Callithrix jacchus: one gene and its partners. The protein of the gene in region 3 purifies or fractionates together with the protein of the main gene of each other region. This does not show direct contact. Links are inferred from orthologs where the notes say so. Each region holds a gene or a part of one and is shown on either strand. Other genes may lie near its edges.

What was found. The genes of interacting proteins can lie anywhere in the genome.
Region 1: the proteins of HIF1A (region 3) and SEPTIN9 purify together in Homo sapiens (affinity purification with western blotting; 4 studies listed by BioGRID and IntAct, with this or other methods). This does not show direct contact. The link is inferred for Callithrix jacchus from reciprocal best matches to the Homo sapiens genes HIF1A and SEPTIN9.
Region 2: the proteins of HIF1A (region 3) and CUL2 purify together in Homo sapiens (affinity purification with western blotting; 7 studies listed by BioGRID and IntAct, with this or other methods). This does not show direct contact. The link is inferred for Callithrix jacchus from reciprocal best matches to the Homo sapiens genes HIF1A and CUL2.

The regions. Positions count from the first base shown.
Region 1 is NC_133506.1:133,304,026-133,309,446, forward strand, and holds part of SEPTIN9 (septin-9), read left to right. Parts: intron 1-2,937; coding exon 2,938-3,066; intron 3,067-3,802; coding exon 3,803-3,884; intron 3,885-4,253; coding exon 4,254-4,391; intron 4,392-5,421.
Region 2 is NC_133508.1:34,639,126-34,643,500, reverse strand, and holds the end of CUL2 (cullin-2), read left to right. Parts: intron 1-435; coding exon 436-552; intron 553-1,972; coding exon 1,973-2,104; 3' UTR 2,105-2,549; downstream 2,550-4,375.
Region 3 is NC_133509.1:96,450,990-96,456,410, forward strand, and holds part of HIF1A (hypoxia-inducible factor 1-alpha), read left to right. Parts: intron 1-184; coding exon 185-332; intron 333-1,284; coding exon 1,285-1,505; intron 1,506-2,549; coding exon 2,550-2,836; intron 2,837-4,941; coding exon 4,942-5,064; intron 5,065-5,185; coding exon 5,186-5,421.

The DNA.
Region 1 (5,421 bases), on a different chromosome or scaffold from region 3:
GTAGTGGTGATGGGGATGATGGTGGTGGTGATGATGATAGTGGTGGGATGGTAGTGGTGATGTGGGTGATGGTGGTGATGATGGTGATGTGGGTGATGGTGGTGGTGGTGGTGTTAATGGGGGAGATGATGGCAGTAGTGATGGTGATGGTGGTGATGTGGGTGATGGTGGTGGTGATGGTCACAGTGGTGGGATGGTAGTGGTGATGGGGGTGATGGTGGTGATGGTGATAGTGGTGGATGGTAGTGGTGATGGGGGTGATGGTGGTGTTGGTGATAGTGGTGGATGGTATTGGTGATGGGGTGGTGGTGGTGGTGATAGCGGTGATGGCGGTGTTAGTGGGGGTGATGGTAGTGATGGTGATGGGGGTGATAGTGATGATGAGGGTGATGGTGGTGATAGTGATGGTGATAGTGGTGGGATGGTAGTGGTGATGGGGTCATGGTGGTGGTGGTGATAGCGGTGATGGCGGTGTTAGTGGGGGTGATGGTAGTGACGGTGATGGGGGTGATAGTGATGAGGATGATGAGGGTGATGGGGATGATGGTGGTGATTGTGATGGTGATAGTGGTGGGATGGTAGTGGTGATGGGGTCATGGTGGTGATTGTGATGGTGATAGTGGTGGATGGTAGTGGTGATGGGGTCATGGCGGTGGTGCTGATAGCAGTGATGGGGTAATGGTGGTGTAACGGTAGTAGTGATGGTGATGGGGGTGATAGTGATGATGATGAGGGTGATGGGGATGATGGTGGTGATGGTGATAGTGGTGGATGGTAGTGGTGATGGGGTGATGGTGCTGGTGCTGATAGCAGTGATGGTGGTGGTAATGGTGGTGTAACGGTAGTAGTGATGGTGATGGGGGTGATAGTGATGAGGGTATGGGGATAACGGTGGTGCTGTGATGGTGATGATAATAATAAAAGTAACAATAATAAAGGGACACACCTTAAAGTATCCCAGTGCCATCTCCTAAATCTAAGGTGTTGTGGCTGGAACATTGACATAACTCCTGACCTGAGCTTGGCCAGGACACAGACTTGGTGGAAAGAGGGAGATAGATGAGGAATGTCTGTCCAATAATAAAGGGACACACCTTAAAGTATCCCAGTGCCATCTCCTAGATCTAAGGTGTTGTGGCTGGAACATTGACATAACTCCTGACCTGAGCTTGGCCAGGACACAGACTTGGTGGAAAGAGGGAGATGGATGAGGAATGTCTGTCCAATAATAAAGGGACACACCTTAAAGTATCCCAGTGCCATCTCCTAGATCTAAGGTGTTGTGGCTGGAACATTGACATAACTCCTGACCTGAGCTTGGCCAGGACACAGACTTGGTGGAAAGAGGGAGATGGATGAGGAATGTCTGTCCTCAGGCAGCTAAACTGTTCAGCTGGGGGGGATTCCCAGCACCAGCCTCTGTCCTCCTGGGAGCCCACACTTTTCCCTGAAAGGTGTTCAAAGTCAGAACATCAGTGTAATTTAGGATGTTTTTTGTTTTTTGTTGTGTTTTGTTTTTTTGAGACAGGGTCTCACTGTTGCCCAGGCTGGAGTGTAGTGGCCTGGTCTTGGCTCACTGCAACTTCCACCTCCCAGGTTCAAGTGATTCTCATGCCTCAGATACGCGCCCCCATGCCTGGCTAATTTTTGTATTTTTTGGTAGAGATGGGGTTTCACCATATTGGCCAGGCTGGTCTCAAACTCCTGACCTCAAGTGATCCACCCTCCTTGGCCTCCCAAAGTGCTGGGATTATAGGTGTGAGTGGTGCCCAGCCAGTTTTTGTTTTTAAGAGAATGGGTGTCACTCTGGAGTGACAATGATCCTAGCTCACTACAGGATCATTGCACTCTTGGGCTCAAGCAATTCTCCCACTTCAGCCTCCTGTGTAGCTGGAAGTATAGGTGCTCACCACTACACCCAGCTAATTTTTACATTTTTATGTAGAGACGGGGTCCCGCTATGTCGCCCAGGCTAGTCTTGAACTTCTGGACTCAAGCAGTCTTCCTGCCTTGGCCTCCCAGAGTGTTGGGACTACAGGCGTGAGCCACCACACTTGACCTGGGGTGTTTTTGTTGTGTGCTTGCTGGCGAAGCCAAAGGCAGCTCTGTGCAGGGTAAAGCAATGGGGCTCTGAGTCTGGGGGATGTGCGTGTTATGTGTGGGTTGTTTGTGTGTGTTGTGAGAGTTGTGTGTGAGGTATGTATGAGAGGTATGTTTGCAGTGAGTTGTGTGTGTTGCGTTGCATGTGAATGCCACTTCCTCATCCTCGTTTGTCTTGGTCACTTGTGGACTGGCTGTCCGCACACACGGGTGCTGTCCCTTAAGTTGCACTGCCCTGCAGGCCAGCACTCCCTAGCACATGGGCCCCACAGACCCCACATGACATACACAAGCCTGCCTGATGCTCACATCAGCTCCGTGGGGGAAAGGATTGTTTATCCCATTTTGCAGATTAGGACGCTAAGGCATGGTGAGGTCAACTGACTCACCCAGGCCCCGGCAGATCAGGGAGGAGAAGTTTGAACACCTGAGGCTGCCCGGGCCTATGGTTCCAACCACCCTGGTGAACTGCAGAAATCCCAGCCACCTGGTGCACCCAGGCAGCCCTGGGTTCCTCCACAAGCCGGCATCTGTCCTGTCTGAAATCTGAGCCTCCAGGAGACCTCCTGCCCCAAAAGCACAAGGGGCACAAGAGATGCCAATTCTGCCAGGCCTGGCTCACCTGCCAGGGTTATGCTGTCACCAGAGCCACCTGTGTGGATTTAATAGTCACTGGACACCCGGCTCGAGGGTGAAATCCCCAGGTGCTGCCTGGCAGAGGGGCACGGCTGAATCTCAGTCTGGGGAGCCTTGTACCTGAGTGGGAGGGGTTCCACGTGCAAACCCTGCTGGACCTCTCCGGAGAGGCCCTTGACCAGCCTCCCATCCTCTCCTTAGGGCAGAGCGGCTTGGGTAAATCCACCTTAATCAACACCCTCTTCAAATCCAAAATCAGCCGGAAGTCAGTGCAGCCCACCTCGGAGGAGCGTATCCCCAAGACCATCGAGATCAAATCCATCACACATGGTCAGTGGCTGGGGGCGGGCTGGGGTGCGGGATGCCCCTGCCTTCCTGGAACACAGGTTGGGGGGTCAAGTCCATCACCCATGGTCAATGGTTGGGGGAAGGCTGGGGGTGTGGGACCCCTCTGTCTTCCTGGAGCACAGGGGGTCAGTCACCAGGGGCAGGCTGGGGTGCAGGGTGGTGTGGGATGTCCCTGCCTTCCTGGAGCATGGGACAGGGAGTCAATTCCATCATGGACGGTCAGTGGCCAGGGATATGCGGGGGGTGCAGGATGTCCCTGCCTTCCTGGAGCACAGCGTAGGGGGTCAAGTCTAACACCCACAGTCAGTGGCAGGGGGCAGGCTGGGGGTGCAGGATCCCCCTGCCTTCCTGAAGCACAGGTGTTATGTGAGGGTGCCGGAGTCAGGCAATTCCGGGTCTCCAAGACAGAGACTCGCTGTGCCTGCCATCTCCAGCACGTTGGTTCTGGGGCTCTGGCTGTGAGGGGTCAGTGTCCCCCACCCCTGTGGGTCCCATCATACTGAGCACCCCGCAGGCAAATGAGTTTTCCAACAAAAGTCACAGGCAACTGGCACCCAGGGAACTGTCACCGGCCTGTGCCCGAGTTGGCTGAGGAAGGCCATTAATGTCCCAATGTCTCCTTGGTTGTTGTTGCTGCCCACCTGAGGTCAGTCAGGCACAGGGCGTCTATGAGGGTTCTCCGCCTCCCCTCTGACTCTGTGTGTGTGGCTCTGTGCAGATATTGAGGAGAAGGGTGTCCGGATGAAGCTGACGGTGATTGACACACCAGGGTTTGGGGACCACATCAACAACGAGAACTGGTGAGGCCCCTCCGGGGAACGAGCACTAGCAGGAGCTTCAGGGCTCCCTGGACCCTGCCCAGAGTCAGCTTCAGGGCTCCCTGGCCCACGGGGGTGCAGGGCCCACCTCCTGGGGCCTGATATGCTGCTAATGTCGCACATCTCAGGGGCTTGAAAATTCTGGACCAAATCAGAATTACCTGGGGAGTCTTGCTGTCTTCAGCTCACCTCCTGAGGCCAGCCCGGGGAGGCTGGTTTGGGAGCCCGAGGATAAGGCTGTGGTGTCTCTGCTCAGCAAGCCGGACCTCCCAGGGCATGCACTGGAAAGTGGGGTGTTGGGTTGTGCATGACCTGCCTGTGCTCGCTGACTCGTCGCCCGTCCCCATGCAGCTGGCAGCCCATCATGAAGTTCATCAACGACCAGTATGAGAAGTACCTGCAGGAGGAGGTCAACATCAATCGCAAGAAGCGCATCCCGGACACCCGCGTCCACTGCTGCCTCTACTTCATCCCTGCCACCGGCCACTCGTACGTCCCGCGCTGTCAGCGTCCTCGTGCTGGGTGCCCTGGGTTCCCTCTGTCCCCTGGGACTGCTAGACGGTGCTGTCTGCCCTGCTGCTGGGCACAGAGGGGCAAGCTGGGCTGTGCCGGGTCTGCACCTCCAAAGCCTCACTCCGACCCCTACGCCGTGTCCTGCCCAGCGCCCTTCCTGCAGCTGCGTATGGGGAGCTGAGGGTCAGGCTGGGCTGTTCTGGAGCCTGGTGGTCTGTGTCCTGCCTTCTCGGGCTGGGCTCTGGCAGGTAGAGTGGGAGCCCCCAGCCAGCACCCTTCACGCTGACCTGACCTTCTCTTCCCGGTCCTGCCTCACAGGACTCCTCAGAGGGTTTGGCGCGTTCTTAGACGGGAAGCACAGAGATCAGTGTGGGCCCCTTCCAGGGCTGGATGGGGGCTGCTGTTGGTGCAGGTGGCCTTGGTGAGAGCGCTTTCCTCCTGCCGGCTCTGTCTGCACCCCCAGAGGTCTGCAAGGCTGGGAGGCTGCATGTGCCCTGGCAGGTGGACTCTTGGTGGCCTCACAGACCCTCTGTCCTTGGCTCTCTGTGCACCCTCTGCCATACACCTGTGGCCCACCCTGAGTCAGGGCTGTGGGGAGGTGGACCCGGGGCCAGCAGGAGCAGCTGGTGGAGACAGCCATGGGTGGCTTGCCAGCGTGGGGGGGTGGAGAGGGTCCTTCACACCTGCTGGCGCTGCAGCCTGAGTCTGGCTGGTCCAGATGCGCATCCCTGGGTGGAGGATGCCAGGGCTTGGGGGAAACCCATACTCTGTGGCACCAGGTGCAGGAAGGAGCCTGGCTGGTGGGCAATAAGTGGGCAGCCAGAGTCTCTGTGGGAAAACCCAAGCCCGAGTTTTTGAGCCCACCCTCTGGCATCATCCCCTGTGGGCCAGCAGGAGTCCACTCAGGGGCAGGGGCCATCTTGCCACCCACAGGCCTATCCCGAACTGAACGTCTGCCCTCCAGGGAAGCATGGCTCATCTGGGGTCCTATGGCAGCTTTTCCAGC
Region 2 (4,375 bases), on a different chromosome or scaffold from region 3:
AAAGAAAATGATCTTGCAGATTACTACTGTGTCCTCCTTTATCGCCTCTTTTCCTTAACAGTATAGTTTATAATAATGTAAATTTTTTCTAATGACTTTCAGCTTTAACCCTAGAAACTATAGATGTTTTCTCAGTGGTTATGTGATATTAACACAACATAACTGTATAATTTGCTCACTATTGATTACAAATTTATCATTGTGGCACATGCCTGTAATCCCAGCTGCCCAGGAGGCTGAGGCATAAGAATCACTTGAATCCGGGAGGTGGAAGTTGCTGTGAGCCAAGATCGCGTCACTGCACTCCAGCCTGGACGACAGAGGGAGACCCTGCCTCAAAAAAAAAAAAATTTATTTGCACTCACTGATAAAATGAATTTAAAACACATTCAGTGACTTGACATCTTGTTCGCTCTTTTTTCTTCTGTAAAACAGGAAATGGAGCAGACTAGAAGTGCTGTCGATGAGGACCGGAAAATGTATCTCCAAGCTGCTATAGTTCGTATCATGAAAGCACGAAAAGTGCTTCGGCACAATGCCCTTATTCAAGAGGTAAAAGGAGGGCAGTCCTCAGGGCTTCTTAGGGTAGAGGGCATTGTCGGTGTACAGAGTCAGTCTCTTTCTTCTTAAAGAGGATACAGAAATAAACTGATCCTCAAGTAGCATAAAGAAATGTTTCATACTTAGAATCGTACTTGCTTCCAGTTTCAATATTAAATTCAGATTTGCAGGCTAGGCACAGTGGCTTGTGCCTGTAATCCTTTGTTGTTGTTGTTGTTGTTGTTGTTGTTGTTGTTGTTGTTGTTGTTGAGACAGAGCCTTGCTCTGTCGCCCAGGATGGAGTACAGTGGCATGATCTTGGCTCACTGCAACCTCTGCCTCCTGGATTCAAGTGATTCTCCTGCCTCAGCCTCCCGAGTAGCTTGGAATACAGGCATGCGTCTGGCTAATTTTCGTATTTTTATATTTTTGCATTTTCAGTAGAGATGGGGTTTTACCGTGGTGGCCAGGCTGCTCTTGAACTCCTGATATCGGGTGATCCACCCACTTCAGCCTCCCAAAGTGTGGGATTACAGGCGTGAGCCACCATGCCTGGTGAACACCTGTAATCTGAATGCCTTGTTAGGCCAAGACAGGAGGATCGGTTGAGTCCAGGAGTTTTCGACCAGCCTGGGCAACGTAGAGAGACCCCATCTCACCAAAAAATATTTTAAGAATTAGCCAGCTGTGTTGGCATACACCTGAAGTTCCAGCTACTTGGGAGGCTGAGGTGGGAGGATTGCTTGAGCCCAAGGAATTGAGCCTGGGTGACACAGTGAGATGCTATCTTGAATAATAATAAATTCATATTTGCTTTGGCTTTATTTTAGAGCTCTAAAACTTGCCAGTTCATTGAGTCTTCTGTTCAGTTATTGAAGGAAGTTGACACATCAGATACTCATTCATTCCATAAATATCTGAGCCTACCATATGATAGATGGCCAGGCTGGTCACTGGGTTGTAGTACAGAGCAGCTGAAGATGTGGCAGGCCCTTTTAGAGTTTACAGTTTAATGGGGAAGAATTATGTTATTGAAATAGTACACAAATAAATATAAAATTACATTAGCATGCCCTGAAGGAAAGGTACACAGTACCTTGAGAATGTATTTAAATGTCCTGACCTAGGGGATGCTGGGGAAAACTTTCTGGAGAAAGTGGTGTTTGAACTAAGAGCTGAGAGTTGAGTGACAGTTAAATAGAAGCTTGGGGTTGTGTGTGAGTATTTAATGTTTATTGTTTCACTTAATTATGTATCATTATTAGATTTTGCTGTATCCATTTTCCATATTTTAGTTCCTATTTTCATACTTCATTCTGCCTGTTTGCTGAAATTTCAGTGCATTTGAGGCACTTTAAACGGATTGGTTAAAAGTCATTACTTACAGCTGAAGAACGGGCAGTAGTTTGACTTCCACGTCTCTCTTCCACAGGTGATTAGCCAGTCAAGAGCTAGGTTTAATCCCAGTATCAGCATGATTAAGAAGTGTATTGAAGTTCTGATAGACAAACAGTACATCGAACGCAGCCAGGCGTCGGCAGATGAATACAGCTACGTCGCGTGATGTCGCTCTCCTCCAGCGTGGTGTGAGAAGATCATTGCCATCACCATTTGGTGTGTTCCTGTGGGAAAAGCAGGCCTGTGCCTCCATAATTTGGTCATTTGGCAGCCCCTGTTTTCTGCTGTTTACAACATCACCAGTGCCACGTCATGAGCGTCAAAGAAAATGCCTAGAGATATTTCAAGCTCATGTCATGATGACATTTCTTAAAACTTTCTTAAAAGAATGAGTGAAGTATTGCTGGAATGTGGAAAGTCGGTTGGGTACCATGCTTTTTCTCCCCTTCACGTTTGCAGTTGATGTGTTTTTTTTTTTTTTTAATGTATCTTAAAGGACATAAAATTTAAAAACTTAAATATTGTAATATGACAGATAACCTAATAATTGTATCTACATTAAAATGACAAACATGATACTGCTGCTTGTCAAATAAAAAAAAATAAAGAAATAGAATGCCTTTTTTATGTGAATGGAGTATCAGGTTGACCACAAAATATATAGAGTCAAAGCAGCTAATGGGCATCTTTAGTTGCATTTTTATCTGAATGGTTTAGTTTACTTGTACTTCTATTTAAATCCTACATGAAAAATGTCTAGATTATTGTTCTTGAATGCACTGGCCTGCATTCAGCATAAAGAATGCTTTATTTTTATGGATTCGATATATTGGAGCTAAGCATTTTGAATCTTGAAGATGTAATTTCATCGGCAGTTTCTGGTGGTGTGCTACCCTGCAGACAACGCAGAGTGTGAGCAGGATTCATGGTGACCTCAGTTCTGGCACAGAGAGAGCTTTTCATTCAGAAGTTGTCTTTCTTCTGTTGCATAATGCATTAATTCTAGCATAGACTAACATCCTAGCTCTATGGCTTTCCTGAGTCTTAGGAGATCCTGTGATACCAATGTATTCCTTCCATATGCCTTCCCTACCTGTTACCCTTACAACCCTCCTCAGACAGTTTATATACTAGAGTCACTCCCATCAGTCACAGATATGCTTAGCAATGCATAACCTAAATATCTTTTTTTAAAATAATTTTACATTGCACCCAGTGCCACTTATATATAAATCTCATTATTTTGTTTATTACATATATGTATCAACAGCAGTGTCAGAATACTGCAATCTATTATATTTATTGTCTGTCCACACCATCACCACCACCACACCCCTCTTCCCTCAACACACAAACAAATTTTTTTGTTTTTTTTAAAGTAAGAGACAGGATTTTGCCATGTTTCCCAGGCTAGTTTAGAACTCCTGGCCTCAAGCAATCCTGTCTCTGTCTCCCAAAGTGCTGGGATTACAAGCATGAGCCACTGTGTCCGTTGAACATTCAGTTTTTAAAATACGGAATATTTAAAAGCAAATCACATAAATTGTTTCACTTTTAATACTTCAGTTTTTATCTTGAACAAATAAGGCCTTTAAAAAATCCACAGTGACATTATTACTCCTAACAAAAACAATAATTAACTTAGTATTATCTAATATGTGGTTCATATTTAAATTTCTTATCATTTCGAAATGGATTTTACAATTGGTTTATTCAATTGCATTTTTTTCTAACTCATGTCTCTTAAGTGTTTTAAAAATCTACTGAACTTACAATGACTTCTATACTGTATTTCTCATTTTACCTTTCTTCCAAAGGAGGAAATAATGGCAAACCATATAATATTGTACATTCGCCGTCAAAAAGCAAACCCTTGTTTTGATAACTTGTTGATTGATAAAAGTTTTCCAAATTGATTCTTTTTTTCTTAAATATTTATAAATGTTAAATTAAGTTTTATCCTGGTATCTAATCGTCAAGAAAGTACATTGAAAAATGGACAGAATGCTTGTGCGGAGGTCAAAAGAGATGACTTACAGGAGTTTTCTTCACATCCTCTCTCTATTCAGCTGTAAGGAAACAACTCACACTAGGAAGAAAAGGGACCAGATCTGTTCAACCAAGGCACCATTCAAAAAGAGCAATGATTGGAATTCATTGTAGCACACACCTTCCCCTGCAGAGAGTGCGGGGAAGAGTTGCAGTCTTGTCACGTTAGGTGAGGAGATTGGAGTCACTGCAGAAGCTGTGGCATACAGCCCAGAGCCCTTACCTGGTACCTGGCCGTCCCAATGTGCAATAACTAGTGCGTGTGGGCAAAACAGCTCAGAACTACAAAAAGGGAAAAGGACCAAGGAGAGGAGGGTTTTTTATGCTTCACTGCAGAAAATGCATGTGAGCAAAACTCTCAGAAGTTTTTTAGAAGCCATTAATACTA
Region 3 (5,421 bases):
GGAAATGGGTATATTTTCAGCTATTCTGTGACACACTGTCTCAATTTAAGCAGCTACAACTGATTCCACTAAATAGACATCTGTTTTCTAAAACAATGATCAACATTCAGTACCTGTTCATTTAATTGAAAAGTCAAAGGGACAATATTTTCTCTGAATGATTCTTTTTTATTTTCCCCCCAAGTGTTTACTAAAGGACAAGTCACCACAGGACAGTACAGGATGCTTGCCAAAAGAGGTGGATATGTCTGGGTTGAAACTCAAGCAACTGTCATATATAACACCAAGAACTCTCAACCACAGTGCATTGTGTGTGTAAATTATGTTGTGAGGTAAGTTTGAGAAATAAACATTTTTGGGAAACAAACAGTAATTCTTTTTGGATACTCTGTTCATTTATAGGAAGATAAGATTATAAATATTAACTAAATTTTATTTTACTTTCACATTTCTACCATTATTTTCTGTACTCTGACCTAAGTCGCCCAGGCTAGAGTGCAGTGGTGCAATCTTGGTTCACTGCAGCCTTCACCTCCCAGACTCAAGCCATTTTTGTGCCCTGTAGAGACGGGTTTTGCCGTGGTGGCCAAGCTGGTCTTGAACTCCCAGGCCCAAGGAATTCACCCACCTCAGCCTCCCAAAGTGCTGGGATTATAGGCATGAGCCACCCTGGACATCTGAAATTCTTAACTGAAATTAGTCAAAATATCTTGTATGGGGAGGTTTTTTTTTTAAATTTCAGCTTTTATTTTTTATTCAGGGGATACATGCATAGGTTACATGGGTATATCATGTGATACTGAGGTTTGTGGTACAATTGATCCTGTCACCCAGATAGTGAGCATAATGCCCAACAGCTGTTCAACAACCCTTGCCCCTCTCCCCTGGAAGTCCTCAGTGTCTATTGATGCCATCTTTATGTCTACAAGTAACCCAATGTTTAGCTCCCACTTACAAGTGAGAACATGCAGCATTTGGTTTTCTGTTTCTCCATTATTTCACTTAGGATAATGGTCTCCAGCTGCATCCATGTTGCTGTATAGGACATGATTTCATTCTTTTTTTATGGCTGCATACTGCGAATTTTATTGGGTCTTCATTTAATATTAGCATTTTAAAACCCTAAATGTGACAAATTGTGCCTGAGAGATCATGCATCTCAAGAAATCTTAAAATGTTCCTGTCCGTAAAGCAGAATTTCTTAAGAGACCGTTTCACAGTTCCCCTTCCCGTCATTGTGTCAAGTGCTCATTTATGAATTACTAATTTCTCTTGTTTTGACAGTGGTATTATTCAGCACGACTTGATTTTCTCCCTTCAACAAACAGAATGTGTCCTTAAACCGGTTGAATCTTCAGATATGAAAATGACTCAGCTATTCACCAAAGTTGAATCAGAAGATACAAGTAGCCTCTTTGATAAACTTAAGAAGGAACCTGATGCTTTAACTTTGCTGGCCCCAGCTGCTGGAGACACAATCATATCTTTAGATTTTGGCAGCAATGGTGAGTAATTATTTTGTTAATTCCCTAAACTTTTGCTGCATGCCTCATTTCAACTAAATGTTACTTTGACGTTTTTTGTTGGTAATCATTTGGACATTGAAGGCTATTATGTTGGTTTGATTAAATATTTTTCCCCTGTAATTTCTTACCATTCGTGCTTTTTTTTATATTGTTGGAAATTGTATTTTAAAGTGTCCTTAAGGCATTTATTCTTCCCACAAATTTTTCCTGGCTACTCTGCTATTTCTGTATCCTGCTGTCAGATTTTCTCTAGTTTAGCGAGTTATATGGAAGTAGGCATTGTTGCATTAAAGGATAAATAGTCATATCATATGGGGAGCCACGATGGCTCCGGCCAGTTGTCCTGGCGCTCGAGGAGGTGAGGCTATGAGTTCAAGGCCAACCTGAGCAACATAACAAGCTCTCATTGATTGACCAAAAAAAAAAAAGTCATATCATAACATCAAACATTGAAGATGAAAACTGCAATTTTAAAGTAGAGAACATTTTAATATATAAAATGGTTAGTATTGCCTTTTGTCTTTTATGCCATACAGATTAAGAGGAGGTATCAATAGTGGATTGGAAAGATAATCCAGATTTAAGATTATACTATAATATTTGTTAACTTCCTGATGAAAGAAAATTTGGTAACATTTTGTTGTTTGATAAATTGTATACATTTTTTGTATGTTAAAATCCTCGTGGCCGGGTGTGGTGCCTCACGCCTGTAATCCTAGTACTTTAGAAGGCCAAGACAGGTAGATCACTTAAGGTTAGGAGTTTGAGACCAGCCCGGCCACCATGGTGAAAAGCTGTCTCTACTAAAAATAAAAAAATTAGCTGGGTATGGTGGTGCGTGTTTGTAATCCCAGCTACTACTCGGGAGGTTGAGGCAGGAGAATTGCTTGAACCCAGGAGTCAGAGGTTCAGTGAGCCAAGATTGTGTCACTGTACTCCATCCTGGGCAACAGAGCAAGACTCTGTCTTGCTCAAATAAAAATATTTGTATACTTTATATTGACTCATATTTTTTCCTTGCAGACACAGAAACTGATGACCAGCAACTTGAGGAAGTACCATTGTATAATGATGTAATGCTCCCCTCATCCAATGAAAAATTACAGAACATAAATTTGTCAATGTCTCCATTAGCCACCTCTGAAACTCCAAAGCCACTTCGAAGTAGTGCTGACCCTGCACTGAATCAAGAAGTTGCATTAAAATTAGAACCAAATCCAGAGTCACTGGAACTTTCTTTTACCATGCCCCAGATTCAAGATCAGCCACCCAGTCCTTCTGATGGAAGCACTAGACAAAGTTCACCTGAGGTAGGTGTCATGATATAATCAGAAAGGGACAACTTTCAGATTTTAACATTCAAGATTGTATATAATTATAAGTTTGATTGAAACACTAATTTGAACCACAAATTATATTTGTGTGTGTGTTTGAATTTTAGCACTTTAAAATTATTGCAAGAGCTATTGCTTAACTTAGACCTCAGCACATGTTTTAAGCTCAAAGATAGGAACTTGGGAAGAAACTAGCATAATATAAACCAAAAGGTGAAACATACATTGTTTCTTATTATTTATATCAGTAGGACAAAAACGTCTTGAATTTGGACATTTTAGACTAGGACTAAGTGTGCTCAAGGTAGCCACAGCCTATACCTGTTACCTTGATTTTTTTGTTTGTTTTGTTTTATTGTGGGTTGTTGTTTTTATTTTTTGAGACAGAGTCTCACTGTCACTCAGGCTGGAGTGCAGTGGTGCAATCACAGCCCACTGCAGCCTCAGCCTCCCAGGCTCAAGTGATTTTCCCACCTCAGCCTCTCGAGTAGCTGAGACTACAGGCCCACACCACCATGCCTAATTTTTTAACCCTTTTTTTTCCCTGTAGAGTCGGGGTTCTCACTATGTTGCCCAGGCTGTTTGTAAGCTCCTGAGCTTAAGCGATCATCCAATCTTGGCCTCCCAAAGTACTAGGATTACAGGTGTGAGCTACCATCCCTGGCCCATTACACCTTTAAGTTGGAGAACTGTCTGGTAACAATAGGCTTAACAGGGTTTACATGGGAAAGGACCTTATAAATTCTTTGCCCAATTTAGTTCAGTTTCCATCACTATTTTGAAACTTTAAGTATAACATGAAAGTAACAAGTCTTACATAAATTAAATACTTAGTAACTGGTCTGTTTTATTCTAGATCTGTCTTGATATTAATTGTCCTATAAACACAACAAAAATAATCTTTAAAGGCTGGACTGACCAAGACTAGAGCTGTCACACAGGGCTCTATTTCTAAATCTAGAATGATTCCATTTCAGGACTTCCTACATTTAAAAATATGCTCAGGAGTAGGGTAACTTAGCTCTGAACACTATAACTTGATAAATGAAGCATAAATCAGCTTTAATAAGTGGTAAATAATTCTACATTAAATATTTGAATAAAACTGGCAAGCTAAGAGTAGGAGATTTGATCTCATAGCCTTCTGGTATAGGAGTATCTCCTATGCCCTGCTTGCTTAATTTACCTAGCACAAAAAAAATGTTTGATTCATTTTGGTTTTTGTCTAACAAAAATAATAGAATGATGAAAGCAAAATTCCTTGTTTAGAATACACAGCTATAGTTTTTTGTTAAAATTCTTGCCCAGAACTCTTAAAATAGTAATAATGTATATTCATTCAGGTGTATGCAGGTAAAAGCACTTAAGTCTCTACTCCTACCCTCAACTGTAGCTGTGAGATTTTTAGGTAGCTCAATCACCATAGAAGTGTGCCTTCTCATTTCAAAGGTAAATTCCAGAGAATGTAGCATCTAGTTAATTGGTCAGTTAGGTACCATTGTGGGATGTAAATTACCAAAAATTGGTTTTATTCTTTAGAATAAGATGTTTCTTTTAATTTTAAAAATGATGTTATATTACATAGTCAGAAATACGTACATTGGCAAAATTAGTTACCAGTATAAGCTTCAAAATGTCATTTTTTTCACTAAACTTTTAAAATTTTTTTTGAGACGGAGTCTCACTCAGTTGCCCAGGCTGGAGTGCAGTGGTATGATCTCGGCTCACTGCAACCTCGGCCTCCTGGGTTCAAGCTTTAGCCTCCTGAGTAGCTGGGACTATAGGCGTGTTCCAGCATACCCAGCTAATTTTTGTATTTTAAGTAGAGACAGGGTTTCACTATTTTGGCCAGGATGGTCTTGATCTCCTCACCTCATGATCCACCTGCCTCAGCCTCCCAGTGCTGGGATTACAGGCATGGACAACCATGCCGGCCTCGTTAGATAAAATTTGATAAACATGATGGATTTGGTTGTGTGTTTTTTGTTTTTTCCTGAGATCTAGTTTGAAAATTCTGACAACTAGCAAAGTATATGGAGGCTTCTTCAGGAAAAACTGAATATATTTAATTCTCTTTACAGCCTAACAGTCCCAGTGAATATTGTTTTTATGTGGACAGTGATATGGTCAATGAATTCAAGTTGGAATTGGTAGAAAAACTTTTTGCTGAAGACACAGAAGCGAAGAACCCATTTTCTACTCAGGTAAATGAACTTATTTGTTTTATATTAAATTTCATTAATTTTTATTCTGAAGTGACTTTAACTTGTTTTTTATATATAAAGTGTGGCCATTGTAAAAACTCATGTATTTGCTGTTTTAAAGGACACCGATTTAGACTTGGAGATGTTAGCTCCCTATATCCCAATGGATGATGACTTTCAGTTACGTTCCTTCGATCAGTTGTCACCGTTAGAAAGCAGTTCTGCAAGCCCTGAAAGCGCAAGCCCTCAGAGCACAGTTACAGTATTCCAGCAGACTCAGATACAAGAACTTACTTCTAATGCCACCACTACCACTGCCACCACTGATGAATTAAAAACAGTGACAAAAGACCGTAT